3 linked regions of the Schizosaccharomyces pombe genome follow. The gene in region 1 interacts genetically with each later gene. Each region holds a gene or a part of one and is shown on either strand. Other genes may lie near its edges. The genes, in order: mcm4, rum1 and mst1.

What was found.
Region 2: of mcm4 (region 1) and rum1, changing one suppresses a phenotype caused by changing the other (phenotypic suppression), as found in Schizosaccharomyces pombe (one study listed by BioGRID).
Region 3: mutations in mcm4 (region 1) and mst1 impair growth when combined (synthetic growth defect), as found in Schizosaccharomyces pombe (one study listed by BioGRID).

The regions. Positions count from the first base shown.
Region 1 is NC_003421.2:898,231-901,987, reverse strand, and holds the start of mcm4 (MCM complex subunit Mcm4/Cdc21), read right to left. Parts: upstream 1,601-3,757; 5' UTR 1,587-1,600; coding exon 1-1,586. Other genes in the region: 19S proteasome regulatory subunit rpn1302, read left to right, coding at 2,833-2,963, 3,161-3,245, 3,356-3,757. UniProt on the Schizosaccharomyces pombe protein: Acts as a component of the mcm2-7 complex (mcm complex) which is the putative replicative helicase essential for 'once per cell cycle' DNA replication initiation and elongation in eukaryotic cells.
Region 2 is NC_003423.3:2,797,607-2,801,363, reverse strand, and holds the start of rum1 (CDK inhibitor Rum1), read right to left. Parts: upstream 1,688-3,757; 5' UTR 776-1,687; coding exon 83-775; 3' UTR 1-82. UniProt on the Schizosaccharomyces pombe protein: Regulator of cell cycle G1 phase progression. Ensures the correct sequence of S phase and mitosis in the cell by acting as an inhibitor of the cdc2 mitotic kinase. Probably interacts with cdc2 to inhibit its action until the cell mass for Start is reached.
Region 3 is NC_003424.3:4,561,031-4,564,787, forward strand, and holds the start of mst1 (histone acetyltransferase, KAT5 family Mst1), read right to left. Parts: upstream 1,800-3,757; 5' UTR 1,746-1,799; coding exon 354-1,745; 3' UTR 207-353; coding exon of another isoform or gene 1-206. Other genes in the region: ATP-dependent RNA helicase Rpm2, read left to right, coding at 1-206; slm1 (cytoskeletal signaling protein), read right to left, coding at 2,864-3,757. UniProt on the Schizosaccharomyces pombe protein: Catalytic component of the NuA4 histone acetyltransferase (HAT) complex which is involved in epigenetic transcriptional activation of selected genes principally by acetylation of nucleosomal histones H4, H3, H2B, H2A and H2A variant H2A.Z.

The sequences.
Region 1 (3,757 bases):
TTATGAAAAGACTTGTTCGTTCCACCAAATAGCTGTAGCAAAAGCCCCTTTTTAACATCATCCATTTCGTAAATGCTAGGTGCCAGAGACCGGGAAAGAATATCGTATATATCGTCCCGCTTTGAAACTTGTTGAATTTTTTCCACTTCTTCGTCTGATATTTTCCGTACTTCATCAATTTGTAAAGCAGCATCTTCAGCAATATCGCTTTCCAACGTAGAAGGATCCGTACCCAAACGACGTTTGTCCTGCTTTTTTATGTGAACAACGTCGACATAAGTTTTAAATAATGATTTTACAGTACGCATGCGAGGGTTCAAACGAACTGGTACACAGCGAAAAATCCCAGTGACTTCTATACGATCTCCTGCTCTAGCAGAGTCAACCAGTTCATCATATACGCACAGACTTACAGAGTGTGGGGTTTGGCCATCCGGTACCACGTCAGGTGTCTCTTGGAGTTTAATAACTTGCTTATCGGCGAATTCAGAACGATTATGAATTAGCTGCATTGCATTTGTAGCACCACAGACTTCTCTAGGGCATTTTATGGGCTCAGCAATTCGCCCTCTATCGATTTCCACGGTAACACAATGACCACAAACTGAACATCGAAAAAATGCTTGCTTCATGTCGGGTATTACAGGTGTACACCTAAGTACCAGACCTTTAATAGAGATCAATTTGTCAATGTCACCAGGATTAAGATCACGCATATTAATGCATTTTTCAAGATTAAAAGGACGAATTTTGTAAATTTTAAGCTCAATGTCATTAAGAACATCTTCGGGAGGATTAGTTCCTAACAAGTCTAGCATAACGTCTTTAATGGTTTGATCCATGATAGGAATGATTTCTTGAGGGTATGAGTAAAGCTGGTGATATAGCTTCTTGGTTGGGGGATAATGCTTTAAATCCTGAACATCAAGATTTAATATTTCCAAACCCATAATACGCATGTTTCGTAGCGCTTCAATATACACTAGTTGTTCGGCATCAGGAGGTGGCATAAGTTCATTTCTGTATTCAGGTCGATACTTTTTCTTAAACCCACGTAGAAATCCACGAAAGGAAGCGATACTTTCTTGAATAGATACATTTGTTCCCCAAATGACACGGACAGTGTCATCAGCTACTTCACTGCTTGGGTGCGCCTGACTAAACGTGAGTGCATCTGACCCAGAAAACAACAAGCTACTAGGAGTGCTTACCCCGGGACGTTGAGGGTCAACTTCTCTTCGACGAGATGGGGTAGACATTTGCACGCTAGAATGGATGTCTCCACGTCTTGTCGAGCGCGGTGTTCTCTGCGAACTACTGTCAAGGAACAAGTCATTACGCTGAGATAAAAGATGAGAACGTGAACTCTGAGGAATGTTTGGACCTGGTGAACTAGATTCAAACAGTAAAGGAGAGGAAGCGAGAGGTGTACGCGCTGTAGTCCTCGGTGTTGTAAGGCGTGTAGAACCAGGAGACGAAGCAGGAAAAAATAACGGAGAAGAATCCACTGCTTCTCTTGAAGAGCTGTTAGCTCTTCCAGGAGTCCTCAACTCATTGGCTCTGCCACTTTGCTGACTAGAGGACATGACTCGTGGTGGGTGTAGAAAGACAGTGTAAGGGAGTAGAGTAACTACTCATAAACATACAACAATGAAGAGATAAATAGCATAGCAAAGATTTAAATAATTGGAAATTTGTATAATTTTTTAACAATTTGTCATATTCTCCATTGATCATCAAGCTACCAGTAATTGACTATGAAAATGTAAACTAAAAAACTTTGCGACACTAGATATTAGGATCAATTAAAGCAAATTTGTTATCATAAATAAGGTATTATGAATTTGTTATTGACTTACTTCCTTTTAAGTGATATTCTATTTTTTTGGACGAATGAAGAGAAATATGAAAAGAATGTTGAAATAAAGGATTACATTGCTTTAATTAAACGTTATGCTAGTTTAACATTTTGAGATGATCGTTTTTGCAATTTGGAACTACCAGTTGTATTTGAAGGTCGAATCTATTAACTGTGATTTGACGCTAATTGAAGAGGGCAGATGGTGATTTAGTAATTTTACTAATAATATTTCTTAAAATAAGGTTTATTTTGAATTTTCTCTCATATTGAATACCTGAGTTGTTATTATATTAACCATTTGTAGAGTTCATTTGACCATTCGACTACTGGACTGTCTCTAATAAAAAAAACTTAAGTCTGTATATTATGAGTTATATGGTGTGAATTTCAAATAGTGTATGAATGTATTTTTCTATTATTTCTAGTGAAATACCATTGTGTAGGACGCATACTTTTTCTCGATTATGTTTTGCTCTTCAAAACCTGAAAGGATTATAGACATTTATTGTATCTTGATTTTCTTCTATGTATAATTGGTGAAAACTGGTTTATTCTGTTTTACTATTGATGCCATTAACGATGATACAAAAATTGGCTTATGTCTTTTCAAGGCCCTTTAAGAGATGAATTCCACTGCATAGTGGAACGTTCCTTTTCCTTTTAAAGTGTAGTATTAATTTGCTATTAAAACATCTTTTTAGGCGAAACCATCAAATGCGGCTTGATAAATCAGCTTCAAATATTAGAGCAGTTAACCACCTAAAAAGATTGTCTATTACATGATAAAAGATGATTATAGTGGCGACAATTAGAAAATTAAATGATTTTGAGAAATCATGTCTATAGACATGATACGTTTGTGTGGATTACTTTGCTCACTTGCACTGTGTACACTGCATACTCAACTATACCACAACAATTCACAAGGTCAATAATCGTGAGCTTTTGAGTTGACAAAAAATAAATTACAAATGGAATCAGTTTTTGGAAGAGTAAGAAACGAGACTAGCGAGAGAGGAAAGTATGGATTAGTCTCCGTAAAAGCTGGAAAACTTCAAAGAAAGCCAGGAACGAATATTCTGCAAGCTGATCACCGAAAAGGGTATGTACTATAATAATAATATAGATAGTAGTCCTTTCTACTGGGAAAACGAAATTCTACCCAAAGAATTGTTTATGAAGCTTCTTTGCATGTTTACGTTGGAAGGATGCGTGAAAATCCACACTGTTGGGTTTTGTGGAATTGTTTTCTGTTTATAAAGTTAAAAGATCTGATTTTTAATACTGACATTTGTTTAGAGTTATCTATATGCAAATGGCTTCTGATGAATTATTGCATTTCTATTGGAAAGAAAGGGCCAGGGTTTCTAGAGAAGTAGAAGATGTATGAAGACAATTTAAATCAATTGCAAAGTATACCTATTTATATATATAAATTTACTTTTGCGTTTTTTTTTTTTTAATTTGGTTTATGTTTACTAACATATAATGAAGGACTACATCATATTTCCAGAAGAAGCAGAGTTTATCAAAATTGATGAATGTACCACGGGACGCGTATATGCACTAAAATTTAAATCCTCTTCGCAGATTCATTTTTACTGGATGCAGGAGTATAGTGATGAAAAAGACAAGGAAACAGCTTCCTTAATCAATCAATTAATTGCTGACCCTGTGAATACGACTCGGACTATCAACTCACATAATAATTCTAGCAGTAGAGGTACGGATGATTCATCAACCAGCCAACTGCTGCAACTGTTTGGTGCAGCAAGCCAAGATGCTCTGCAAGACTTTAACTGGGAAGTTTTATCACCTACAGCCGAAGCACCGGCTATCCTGCCAAGATTTCCTAACGTTAACGAGTCAGCAAACATGTATCGTGCGTCAAGTGAG
Region 2 (3,757 bases), on another chromosome or scaffold:
TCATGAATAAGGCAGAAGAGTATTTCGTGATTGGGCATTTATATAAACGGTATCAAACACAATTACAAAATGCGAAAAAAAGTTATCGTAATAAATTGTGCCTGTTTTCATCTTTTGTATTAGATCGTGATTTTTGTGGTGATGAATACGCAGGTAAACGCATTTGCGGTGGGGGAGCAACAAAGGAACCTGACGAGGAAGATGGAACCCTTGATTTTAACGAGAACATTTTATTCCCAATAGAATTCAGGTTTGGAGGGAGAATGCCAATTTGAGAATAGTCATTAAGGTCTACAGAGGATGTTGGGTTATCTGAACTAGAAGAAGGCGCCGAGTCAGCAAACAAGAGTTTGGGCTTAAAAGTAGATAAATCAGTTCCAGGCCTGAAGGATTTCTTGATTCTTTTCCCCCGAAAAACATAGTACAAACCATCAGAAGGAGGAGGAGTAGGCTTTCTCTTCTTTCTTGACAAAAGCTGGTTATCAGATGAACTGAGAAAAGGATTGTGTTCTCTGTCTTCTTCCATACATCTTTCTAAAGAATTACTCCGATCTTGTAGCATTAAATTTGGTAGTAATTGCTTTTTGGGAGTTTTAGCAGGTGTAGGTGGAAATGTGCTAACTTGAGGTGCTGGTAAATCGCTTTCAGGGATTTCATCTATCATAATAGAAGAATTACCTTCTAACGAAGCATCGATGACTCCTTTAAAACTCCCAGGAGACTCTGGGGTAGATGGAGTACACAACCCTCGCATAGGTGGTGTTGAAGGTTCCATAGCGAACTGACAATCCAAAAACCAGGTAAATGCAAGAAGAAATCCTTTATGTATCGAGCGGATTATCAGAAGAGCGTGTATTCAAGCTTTCCGATATGATTTAAAAAATGTATTTTTCAATGGTTTTTGGGTGTAGGAAAATTCAGCACCAGAAATGTTCACAAGTTACCTGTAGCAAACGAAAAGGTAACAATTTAATACCCACCAAGCTAGCGACTGCGCTTTGATAATTATACAATTTAAACAATATTTGTAAAATTGTTTGAAATAATATAGAAACAATTGAAATGGCTTCAATATATCAAAAGGAAGGAACAAAATGGGATTGTAGCTTGTAAGAAAGGTATTGAAATTTTCGGAGTAAACAAAAAAAAGGAATCTTTTAGAAAACGGGAATGGGAAAATGTCTATTTTAAAAAGCAAAATTTCACTTCATACCAAGAAGTAAGTGCAGCTAAAATATCAAAGAATCAACCAATCAAAAAAAGATATGTGCCAACTTTAAAATTGTAAATAGAATAATTAACAAGGAAAAATATTCTTTCTAATGTTAGAATTTAAAAACTAGTTGGTTGTTTGCTTAGACGAATTCAACTTTTTCACATAGAAATTGAATGCTCGATTTCTTATAAAGATGCTACCGTTCCTTGTAAAGAGTATAATTCAAAATTAAATTTTAAAAATAAAAAACTGATAAAAAAGCGGATTCTCTTTGACCAAATTCGTACAATTTAGTAATATATTACTGCAGCACTCAAGTAAACACACACGAATCAAGACTAAACAAGATCAATTGATTGTATATTATATATAATCCAAAACAAAAAAATTCAGTTTGCAACAACCGCTGTCAAGGAACCCAAAGCTTATGTATGTAGTAGTAGAACTGTATGTTTGACGTTCTGGTTAACTGGTTATTTGCTCATTTCGTGGTAACCATTACTATTAGATGGCTGTAACGCAGTACGCTAAATTAATTACTTTGATCAAGTACAATTTTTGCATAAATGTGTAGTTAGATTTTAAATGAGAATCGATTTTCTGTTCTCTTTAGCAAAAATCTAAAAAATTTACTAACAATTTTAAGCATCATAGAAATATTCCAGTTCGAAAATAAAAATATATGACTGCAAAACCGTAAATAAAAGTAAACTACATTTGAAGTTCTAATAAAGAAGAAACTTCGCGAGTATGGTAAATGAAATAAGTCTCTTATTGTTATTTAAAAGCAAGTACTATCAAAACTAATTCAAGGGATATTTCGTTAAGATTGTTCCTTATTAGCAAATTGATGGTATAAGCAATATTTATTACCTTAGCTCAAATGCAGGAAAAATGGATTTATGAAGAATCGACTATCTTTCAAACACCATTTTCAAATCGAAATGGGAACAGCAATATGCAAAGTAAATACACGGTTGCTACATCGCTAAGTATTTCCAAAATATATCACAATTGTTAAAAATTAAATCGTGACAATGTTTATTTATGTGTTTAAGGAATACGCTACTAACATAATTTATCAAAAAATATTATAAACATATTGGTCAATAATTAAAATATTCATAAATGAATGTTCATGTTATGACTTATTTTACGCTTCATTACCTATTGTTTACAATAAATAGTATCAATGCATTTGCCAAATGAAACAATTAAAATGATAGGTTCGTTAAATTAAAAATTAAAAATATGTTTCCTCTTCAAAAACTATTATCAAAATGTAATGCACATAACTAACTCTTTATTCAATTCATTTCTTCTTCTCTGCCTGTGTAAACACTAACCTCTGCCTCATATTTCCTATCGTTCTTATTCTAAGGGACAACTGGAGTCGCTGCAATTTTCTTTTCAAACTGTTTCATTTAATTTATTATATTTTTTGTAAAAAAAAATAAAAACAACCTTCGTCTACTCTTTGTACTGAATTTCTTTAAACAATTCGCACATCTTCAATCGAATACTTTGTTAGGCTTAAATTGCACACAAGAAATTATTTTCTATACTTGAGTTAATTATATATTTTTTAGTGATTTTTTCTTGTCTTCAGTTAATAGGATAGTCTATCTTTTTCTTTGAACATGACATCTGAATTGCAACAAGAACTACAGATTTTAAGGAGCTTTAATTACACTATAGAAAAGCTTACGGATGGTCTTTCTGCTTCTAAAGAAAAAATAAAGTCATTCGAAACCTCCATTAACAACTCGAATCGTCTAATACAATTATGGTCATCGGTTCTAAGCCAAACGGAGCATACTCAGAATCTAATACTAAATAGCGACTGGAAAGGTTTGTCTTTTGATAATGAAGAATTAGAAAGATTGCAACATCAAAAAATGCTTCAAATACAAGCCGAAGAGCAGAGAAAGATCGAATTACAACAAGAACAAGAACGACTTGAACAAGAACGAAGGCAAAAAGAGGAAGCTATAGCTCTTCAAAAACAACAGCAGCAAAGGTTATTAAGGTCTAAAGATCCAAAGGTCCGACCTGCAAGAAGAGCCGCATCTTCATATGTACCTTCTAGGCCTTCCCATGTTCCCAAGGTCTTCATCCATGAATGTGCGTTCTCGGGTTAGCATGGCTACGACTTCTAACCCAAACTCACTTAGGACTCCTTCTTCATCTTTTGCAAGTCATCGCCAATCCGCAATTCCAAAATCGGCCACCTCCTCTGCTCCTACTATACCAACATCCAACTTGCCATCCGTAGCAAGTTCGATTCCTAATAATGGTCTCAATTCTTCAAATAGAAAAAGTATAATTTCTAAAACTTCCTCTAGACTTCGTCCACCTTCACGAGTCAGTAATGTGCCCTCCGTTCCTCAGCACCCCTCAACTCGTAGCAGGACAAGCACTCGTGAAACCACTCAACCACCTTTCACCACGAATCCGTCCAATCGCTCAAAACGAACTACTTTACGATAGTTTTAGGGATTTGAAGTTTATTCTAAAATCGTTTGCATTAAAAAAGCTACA
Region 3 (3,757 bases), on another chromosome or scaffold:
AGTCTGTACCTTTGGAAATATTAGAACGCGGAATTCCAACCACTGAAACCGAGTTACAACAACTAGAGCAGCTTCACAAATTAATAGTAGCATACATGTGGGCTAGTATACGATATCCAGCTATCCTGCAAAATGGAGCAGCCGAAAAAACCAAGGCAATAGCAGAGGCTTTTCTAATCAAAGGAATATCGAAATTACAAAAGTAACTAAAATGAAATAAAAGGTTACAAATTAGTCTCTATTCCTTCAAACTTTAAGTATCATTAATATATATCTAGGAGATACTTTAATTATGAGAATTTTTTTTTTTTTTAAGAAAGACGACCAGCATCTAATCCATTCTTTGTACAGAATTACCATCCAAATCGTAGTTGGGAAGGGTGAAAAACAGGAGGTTGCCAATCTGCCAACAAATCTCCATTGATCCTTCTTCTTTTTTTGTTCTTCAATCTTTCGTATTGTTGCTCAATTCCATCTGAAATACAGATAATAAATTGACCTTTGTAATATTTAAGCATATTTAGTGCTTGAAGTGTATGTAGCACATCATTAGTAGTCATTGAAGTTTTGTTGGCTAATTCGTCAATAGTGGTTTCAGTTCGCATTCCAAGCACAAGGTTGATGATTTGTTCAGCCCAATACGCTCGATAACTAATCAACCCCAAATCAGAAAGTGGTTTTTCAGGTGAGCCGTGTTTGTGCTCACGCTTGGTCAATTCATAAGAAAATTGTATGAGTAACTTGCCATAACCATGTCTTTGGTATTGAGGTAAAGTTAAGATACAAGCAAGGTTGTAATTTTCGGAGGACTCTTTTTCTTTTGAGAAATATCCTACCAAGTGACATCCATATTCATCGCGGCGACACATACAGTAAAACAAAAAGGGATCAACATCATAGTAAAGCATTTTGTGATCCAGAAAAAGTTTGGACAAAAGACAAATATTCCTACACCATGTACGTTGCTTTCTTCCATCAATTTCAAAAAAGGATATATAGTCATCACGGTATATTTCATTTCCGGGTGGATGCTGCAATGTACATTTTTCGCGGTGTCTTTGAAATTGTCGCTCAGATCCGTAATAGCAGAAACAAAAACTGCAAATATAAACTATATCTACTTCCGAAAATTCTTTAGGGTACGGTGAGAAGTACCAAGGTTCAATTTCATGATCTCCTATGCAAATTTTGTTTATATTACGAATTCGAGCTATTTCGTGAGGATTTTGAACCATTGAGCCACTGAACCGTAACCTTTCTACTTCTTGTTCTTTTGAAAGACTTTCGGGCTTGTGGTCTTCCTCCAATAACGGTAAACTTTCATTCCCGGCATTTGATCCATGATCACTTTCTCCAGAAGGGGTGGATGGTTCAGGTTTCTCCGTAGAAGGCGTCGAAGGCTCAGTTTTTGAAGGTGCTGTAATCGATCGTCGTCTGTCAACAGCTTTTGGACGTTTTGAGGATTTTCCTTTTCCATGAGCCTTTTTTGGCTTCTCCGGCGGTGGATACTCAATTCCTTTCGATAAATCAATATTATCTATTGTAATCCATTCATCTAAACGTTTATTGTAGTCATTATAGTGTACATAGTAGACGACGCCTCTAGTTCTTTTTTGAATCATTAAAATCTCCGCCTTTCGATATTCTCCATCCTTAAATGCAAAGACTTTGGATTTATAAACTATGTCTTTAGCCTCATAAGACTTTGTTTCAATCTTGGACTCATCATCAACATCATTCGACATCTTGAGTCTCAATAAGTGGATACTTATTCCATGTACAAATTGTGTAGCCACCCTGAAAATTTTTTTTTCATGGTGGTGAGTTTTGCTAGTTTCGAAAACATTTCTTTACCGATTCGTTAAATGTCGGTATGTTTTTTGTGAACTTTACTGCTTTAAATTAAATTGTTTAGCAAATTTCGACGAATTTACAATCTTTGCTACCTTGAAATTCATTAAGCGAGATGATTTTTAAAGTTAGAGTTTCGCTCGTTATTATAGCATCGACGTAATTATTCTCAACCTGCGCTTACAGCAAACGATGCTAACCTTTTCGTTTCCAATAGAAAGTAAATTAATTAATAAAATTTTTGAAAGGATGAAAAGAGTAATAAATACTTTCATTTTACACATATCAAGATAGCTGTGATAAATTAAACGATCAACTTCAAAAATCCTGAAATGCTCAATTAAAATTAGTGTTCTTTGATAATATAAAAATCTAGAAAATATTTTTCTCGGGTTTGAACACGAGTATATTCGAAATTTGTCCAGAAAGTACCGAAAATGCTATAAACAGTAATACAATTCTTCAGTTTTCCGTTTCCAATTAAAAGAATAATGCCAATAAGGAATAATAGAAGTACTTTTCATAATTAAGGGAATTTACTTCACTAACGCGCTCAGCTAATTCACAAAAACCAATAAAAGTATGTTAGGCACTTTATTTACAAGGTATATACCATCATCCCAGCTGCTAAATTAATAAACATGAAACGAGCGGTTGAGATATATCGGAATGAAACCTGCTACATTAAAAAGTAACTTTCCCGATTGAAACAGTCATCAGCCACAGGTATGGGTGAACAGAAAATGTATTTATTCTGAGTTTATATATAATACCTATATATTTGTTGACTGGTGTTTCAAAAGTTCACTATATATCAAGAAACACTATCATGAATTCATTACAGTAACAGTAAAATGGTTCACAATCAACATTCAAGTGCTTTAAACGGGAATCAAAAAGATACAATTAAGACGGGTATGGGGGAGTTACAAAGACTGCCATTTAAAACACAACGGCAGTGTAACAAATATACATGAGCACATTTCGTACCTAATTTGCGAATATACAATCTTTATACATTCCAAGCATTATGACCAGTAGCACTAGCGTTGTAAATAAAGTTGTTGTTGGCGCCAGAATTTCCTTGGCTATCTGCGTATGAGGGAATTTGTTCCGAACCATAACTTCGATTTGTATTGACAGCAGAGCTTGGTTGCGACATACGGGTATTCATCGTAGAACTTTGACGCTCGACGGCTGGACGGAAGTCATTTGGATCATCATCATCATCATCACTGTCGGAAACAGCTGATGGACCATTTGCGTTGCTTAAAGGTTGTATATAGTTCACATTAGCAATATGGGTATTCAACGCTTCCCACCATCTCATTAGTTCGGTGTTGTTAGAAGCGCGAAACGCGTAATCGTTTCGCGCGCCAAAAATTTTCTTAGTAGCATCCTTGCCAGTTATTTTAAACTTGGGTTTCTTCTCAGAAGGGCGACCGATCAGACAATCAGGTATGTAAAGGGCGAATTCGGGTTCAGGATCTTGAAGTGAATCAGAAGATTTAAATTCGTAAAGATAGCCAGAATGTGTAAAGGCATAAAAACCTCTTTGTTTTTTCTTTAAAAAACTTGTTTTACGAATTAAATAACCAGCCATGATAGGTACAGTGGGTTGGTCATTCTTACCAGGATATTTTATAGCATCAACGCTGCGGGGGGGAACAGAGCCATGAATAAATTCCGGCTCACGCTTTGCGTATCCGGTCCACTCGCCAGCAAGGGTTTGTGCTTCTGATACGCGAACAACTTCTTGGAGGTGATTAATAGCTTTGACATGGGTTTGATTCATCATGCCCTCAAACTGCTTAACCGTGTCTTTAATTTTTGCGATAAGGTTTTGCTCGAAACGAAAAGAAAATTCTTGAAGCTGTGCCACTGCTACGGAGTGATTGTTCTCTTC